2 linked regions of the Mus musculus genome follow. The protein of the gene in region 1 interacts with the protein of each later gene in a biochemical or structural test. Links are inferred from orthologs where the notes say so. Each region holds a gene or a part of one and is shown on either strand. Other genes may lie near its edges.

Region 1 (3,090 bases):
TTCCTGAAAAGTAGGAGAACATCTATGCTACCTAGACCTCTCTCATCCTCAGCTTCTACCTTGAACTGCCCGGTGGCTACACCTGCCTTTTACCACACGATGATGTCTGACTTAGGCAGAGGACAGACAACCCAGTGGCTTTGTTCCTCCTGTTGAAGCAGAAGGAATCTCCAAAGATGTTCTCCTCTTGCTCCTGACCCTGGCTGGTGGCCCTGAGGACAGGCTGGAAACACGGGTCCTAACCTCGTCTTGGGTTCCCAGACACAGGGCAGTAGCGGACTGAGTCGGGTCTCTGGAAGTCAGGTGACTTCATTTAGCTCCCAGCTCACTCCAGAAACCCTACAATACCAAGGTCTTTATCTTCCTTAAAACCCTCCAGTGAACTGAGCCCCTTCACCCAGCCCTGTTGTTGGGAAGAGTCCCTACACAGCACTAACAGATACATTGTTCTCATACAGCCTCTCAGAAACAACTTCATACCAAGGACCACAGAGAGAGAGAGACCCGCCAGGCCTCTGGTGTCTTTTGAACCCACAGGACACAAGAATGCAGGCGGGGAACAAGGCCCATGCCAGAGAACCCTTGCACTGCCTGGAAGGAAGGCTGGCCCTTTGTTGGCCAGCCCGTAAAAGCTTTCCCTCCCTCGGTGATGGTCATCCTTGGGACAGGCCACACCGGTATAAACCACCCTGGGACTGCCAGTCAACAGCCCTGTGCTCTTGAGCTCCCCAGTGGGTGTGGCCATATACAATATTTTACTCGTGAGATTGACACTTCCTAGGTCCACATGGACAAAAAACAGGAGTACAGATACCTGGGCATCCCAACAGTTTATGACCCAGGCTTCAGGTACTCATGGAGTCCCGTCAGGAAGAATGGATCTGACTCTTTTCCTGAAACTCATTGGAAGCATTTTGAAATGTGTGGGCTGGTCAGGGTTGTCACACTTGCCTTGACTGATGAGGGATAAGCTATGTAGTGTCCTCGGATGTATGTAGAAAAAATTTCCTAGCCCAAACCAACAGCAGATCCCTGCCTCTTTCAGGAAGCCCAGTCTAAGGTGGACTCCAGTCTGAGGTGCACATGGCCTGTCCTTACAGAGCTCCAGTCTGAGGGAGACAGCCTGTCTTCAAGAAGCCATAATCTTAAGGGAATAGACAACAGGAGCTAAGCCTTCAAGCCCAGGGAAAATATACTGAGTGGTGAGAGGCTCAGCTGTGCTGGTTCTCCGGGGGGGCAAAGGTGCAGCCAGGAAACACTATTAGACATCACTCCACGCCTGGAAGGAGGTTTTAACACTTGCACCAATGATAGAATTAACAACATCAACACCAACAGCCTCCATAAGCAGCAGGACCACAGGATACAACACACAACTTGCGTCCACACCGTCACATTAAGTCACAGCAGCCTACCCACTCAAGCAACCAGGGCCATCTCAGAGCAGGCCTGCTGGGCCAGACTGGAGCCCGAGGCCCCACAGAGCCCCAGCAGGAGAGAAGGTAGCAGTCACCACGCAGGCAGCTAGAAGCCGAGCAAGCAGTTGGCCCCTCACAAGTGTGCTCTCTCTGTCTCTCTCTTTTTCCCTCTCTCTCTCTCCCGTGTCTGTGATGCCCCTCTCTGACTCTTGCTTGCCCTCTGGAGACCAACCTGCAAGTACGTTCGTTTAACTCAAGCTGCCTCGCCTTGCAACGCGAGTCTGTGTTTTTGCAGGAACATTTACACGTCTGCGGATCTTGGACAAACAAATGCTTTCTCCGCTCTGAACAAGGCTCACAGTGACTGCAAAAAGGCAAAAGGAAAGACATCTAAGCTAGAGAGTCAGCAGAGAGAGAGAGAGAGTCCCATGCAACACCCCCTAATGTGTCCACCACGGCTTCCCCACCCAGCTCGTCGGCCCCTAGGCCCTTTCCACATTCTGGAAAGATCCGAGCACTCTAGCAGAAGACAGAGAGAGTGGCAAAGAGACGCAGCGCTGGCAGGACATGTGCCTGCAGGAAGAGGAGGGCACAGGCAGGCAGAGTGCAGGGGGAGGGTAAGCTTCCATGAGGGACAGTGCTGTGCCCCACGAAGACATGGGCCTATCTGGGGCCACAGGGCCCCCACAACTGCTGTGCCCACAACACACCTTGACTCTTCACCTGCTGGGGACAGTGATAAGTGACCCAGGAGACCACCAGGGTACCTTCTCCCTGGAAAAGGGCCTCTGCCCAGACCCTCCACCAAGGGAGAGGGCCAGCAGAAGGTAATCCAAGTCCAGTGGCACTGTCCACCAGCCAGGCCTCCAGAGCCCACAACAGCCTATAAGCAGAGGAAGAGGCCACCGTAGGAGACCTCTGTGGGTGATTTCTGTTGGGCTGGATAGGGAGGGCTTTCCCATCCTGGAGCCTCAAACCCAGGGGTCAAAGCATTTCCAACAGACGAGGACGGGCTACCGCACAGCCCGCTCAAGCTCCAACTTCAGCCCACCACAGTCCACTTCCCACCAACAGACCCCTCAACTCATTCCACGTTGCCCTCCACACCACCCCTACCCTCCAGACATGTGCAAGAGTCTAGAGCAGTGGAAACCAGTTGGATGAGAGGGCCCTGATGCCCAGTGCCCATGCCAACAACGGCCCCGCCACCAATGCCCAGTGGGTGAGAGAAAGTCGGTGCCCAGCCAAGCCAGAGTCCCCTCCCTGAGTTGAGTGTTCCGTATCTACTCACCTTCCACCCACCCCAACCCAACCCTGGGCCAACAATGCCACCACCAAGTCTACCCATTGGTGCCATTAGTGGGGTGAGTGAGAGAGAGAGAGACTGAGGCAGGGCAAGAGCCAGAGGGGAGGTAGGGGTGGGGCAGGGGTGGGGTGGGCAGGGTTAGAGGAGCTGCAGGCGATTGTCTGGAGACCAGGAAGGCTCCAAGGAATTAGACAGCAGCGGCACCAACGTACACGCTCCAGGATTTAAACCGGGATTTCTTGCGCTTTCGTTTTTGACCCTTTCCCTTTCCTCGAACTGATTTTCTGGAAAATATAAAAACAGAAACAGACAGGAAGAGAACGAGAGGGAAGAGAAGAGAGGAGCAATGAAGAAGACAGAGGCAGG
Region 2 (3,648 bases), on another chromosome or scaffold:
GCAGGGAAGAGTAGGGAAGGGTGTGAGTGTGGGAGAACAACAGTCCAGTATGGGAAGCCGGTAGTAGGAGCCCAGGGCTGGGATCCTGGCTTTACCCACAGCTCTGCCATGGTCCTGCAGGAGAGACCCAAGACACCACCACACGACCCTACTCTGAGCCTCAGTTTCCTAGCCCATCTGACAGGGAAGTAAGTGAAGTTGTTCCAGTTCTGAGTCTATAGGCCCCATTGTAAGGGCCACTTGGATGAGTGTTGGGGACATAGAAACAATATATTCGGCACCTCAGTTATGCTACGTCAAAGTCTGTGAGATTGCAATATAGATTGTCATTCTTTTCTCTTCTTTTCTTTTCTTTTCCTTTCTTTTTCTTTCCTTTCCTTTCCTTTCCTTTCCTTTCCTTTCCTTTCCTTCCCTTCCCTTCCCTTCCCTTCCCTTCTCTTTTCCCTTCCCTTCCCTTCCCTTCCCTTCCCTTCCCTTCCCTTCCCTTCCCTTCCCTTCCCTTCCCTTCTCCCTTCCCTTCCCCCTTCCCTTCCCTTCCCTTCCCTTCCCTTCCCTTCCCTTCCCTTCCCTTCCCTTCCCTTCCCTTCTCTTTTCCCTTCCCTTCCCTTCCCTTCTCTTTTCCCTTCCCTTCCCTTCCCTTCCCTTCCCTTCCCTTCCCTTCCCTTCCCTTCCCTTCCCTTCCCTTCTCTTTTCCCTTCCCTTCCCTTCTCTTTTCCCTTCCCTTCCCTTCCCTTCCCTTCCCTTCCCTTCCCTTCCCTTCCCTTCCCTTCCCTTTCTTTTCTTTTCTTTGTTGTTGTTTTCAAGACAGGGTTTCTCTGTATAGCCCTGGAACTCTCTAAGTAGGCTAGACTGGCCTCAAACTCAGAGACCTGCCTGCTTCAGTCTCCCAGGTGCTGGGATTAAAGGCGTGCACCACCCCCTCCTGACCACACTATAGATTTTTGATGTTCACACACTGATATAACTGCAGGAGCCTAAAATGGGGTCTTAAAAGACCCATCAGTCCTCTAATAGGGCAGGGATATAGCTCAGCAGTAGAGCACCTGCCTAGAATCCCCCTTGAGAATCCACCAGTAAAGGGTTGGGGGACATAGTTCAGTGGTAGAGTATTGGACTAGAATCCTCCAGTAAGGGACTGGAATGTGGTGTGGTTCAGTGATAGAGCACTTCCTAGAATTCCCTAGTGAGAGGTTCTATCCCCAGTGCTAAAAATAAGTGAACAACAAAATCTGGTGATGGCTCTGACTTCCGGGAGGGGCTGAACCAGGCCTGGCTGGGTGGTAAGATGGGAAGGCTACATCATGCAATGAGTGACTTCAGGGTCACCCTCCCTCTGTCCTCTGTGTGCTCCTGCTGGCCTCAGACCCTAGGGCATGATCTTTGCTTCTTTTCCTTTTCTCTCCTCAGAATCCCAATTAGTTGTCCCCAGAACACAACTACCCACAAGGGACGTCAGGGGACACTCTGACTCCAGTGTTCCTCACAGCCTCCTGCTCACAGGAGGCGTCACACAGAATCTGAGATGGCCAGGACCTTCATGGTCCTGTGAGAAAACAGACTCGGGCCACTGCAAGGCCACCTCCAGCTCTGACCAAGAGGAGGCTGGAGCGTTCCCCAGCCATCCAGCCCTGGCAAGCCACCTCGAACTTTCTCGAGGCCACTTGGCACACGGGATCCGGATGTCCCCCAGGACTCTCCCTTCCATACCCCCGTGTCACTCAGTTGGATCCCAGCCACTGCAAGAGCTTGGGAGAGGAGCAGCTGAGAGCTTCCCAGAGCCTAGGAGAGCCAGGCACTGGGAGGGAATTGGGGGTGGGGGTTGGTCAGCACACAACCGGACATAGAGTGATGAGCATCTCAGAGAGAAGCCTTTCTGGCCTAATATCTCTCTCCCAATTATGCCAGGGAGGTGGTCCTGCCTGTCCCCTGAGTAACCACCTGTTTTTGATATTCAAAGCATAGAGCAGCAACGGCCCCGGGAAGGAGTGAGTGAGTTGCCTCTTTGGGACCTGAACAGGGAGGACCTCTTACTCTCATGGCTGCAAAGGGAAGCCAGAAGTGACAGAGGAGTAGGTACTCAGTGTCAGCTTAGGTACTGCTCTTCAAACTCTCTGAAGTCTTCACAATGCCCAGACCACAGGCCAAGAGCACCCAGGTCAGGAATATGTAATGTGGAAGCCATTGAAATTCTTAGGAACTTCTGGGGCCAGGTGGGCTCCATGGAACTGAACCTCAGGAGGAGTCTGAGACATGGCCGTTGTGGTGGCTGCCCTATTCAGCTGAAGGACCACACACAAGCATGAACAAGGATGAGCAAGGCCTTGGCTCTGGGTCACATTGAAGGCTGTTTCTGGGCTCTTTTTCTCTGCCCACATGGGCCCCCTGCCCCTGCCTTCATAGGCCTGGGAAGAATTCTTTGTACTGCTGCTGACTGCTTCCTCTGACATTACATGTCTCAGGGCTTACTTCCTCCCAGCCCTAAGCTGACCGTGGAGTCTTGGGCCGAGAAGCAGCAAAGGTTGCCCCCTCGAATGCCCTACCAGCCCCAGTCCAGGACAGCGCTGAGCCTATGGTCCTGAGGACCCTGACTCTTACCCATCAATAGGGTGCTGATCCAGCTGGCCAAACTGCCAGTGGACAGGGAAGATGTACATATTGTAGTTCTTCTCAAAGTCTCGGGCCAACAGCTCCACGGGGTGGTCTCCAGCCTCCAGGCGCTTCTCATTCTCATGGATCTTCTTCACCTGTAGGGGCGGGATCAGCAGGTGACCAAGGGTCCATCCCCCTCTACCACATAACAAGAGGCCAGCCAAGACCAGAGCTCACAGTGAGGCTAGGAGAGAGGTGCTGGTGTTAGCAGCTTATCCACACACAGATGGGGAAACCATAGCACCACCTGCCCCAAGCCCCCACTGTCTATGGAGACTTTAGAAGAGGCCGAGAACTCAACACTAGGTCTTTGCCATGAGGCTAAATATGCTCCCTAAAAGAGAAGGCCTGTTGACTCAGGAGGAGAGGGAATAGGGTCATGCTCTGGATCTGTCTACTACAGACCTCCTCAGAGCCTCCAAAGGTGGCTGGAAGTTTTTGTCCTGGTGTCAATGGTGAAGGCACCCTGCAAAGTGGGGCATAGGCCACCTTGGGGCCAGGTTCTAGAGATCAGCCCTAGATCTCCATCAGCAAACTCCAGGGAGATGAATAGCAGGCACAGCAGTCCAAGCTGGGAGGAGGTCACTTACACGCAGCTTCTGCTTCTCAGTGAGGAGGTTGTTGCCCTCATCTCTCTCGTACAAGGTGACCAGGACATTTTTGAGCCAGTCACGCATGCGCAGAGGGAATTCAGTCAGCTCGGAATCCAGGCAGGGGGCGATGTCTAGGGCACAAGAGGCAAGATTAATCAACCTACACCTGCCAGAGGGCAGACTCGCCACCTGACTACTGTCTCCTTCTTGTCTTACAGCCCATGAGAACTCTACTGAGCACCCCTGGCCTTGGTGCCTCTCTCTGTCTCTCTGATCCAGACTCTTTCCAGAGTCATAAGTAAAAAAGTCTGCACGGGGAAGCTCAAGACCTTGCTGCTTCCTGGCTTGCACCCAACCTGCTGAGGGGTTCTATCACCCACCCAGATGCTCTCGCACCTCTCTAGGC

The links. The genes of interacting proteins can lie anywhere in the genome.
Region 2: the proteins of Vegfa (region 1) and Sparc form a complex in vitro, tested with the Homo sapiens proteins (2 studies listed by BioGRID, with this or other methods). The link is inferred for Mus musculus from reciprocal best matches to the Homo sapiens genes VEGFA and SPARC.

The regions. Positions count from the first base shown.
Region 1 is NC_000083.6:46,019,341-46,022,430, forward strand, and holds part of Vegfa (vascular endothelial growth factor A), read right to left. Parts: intron 3,009-3,090; coding exon of another isoform or gene 2,937-3,008; intron 1,783-2,936; coding exon 1,651-1,782; intron 1-1,650.
Region 2 is NC_000077.6:55,395,953-55,399,600, forward strand, and holds part of Sparc (SPARC precursor), read right to left. Parts: intron 3,374-3,648; coding exon 3,240-3,373; intron 2,745-3,239; coding exon 2,596-2,744; intron 1-2,595.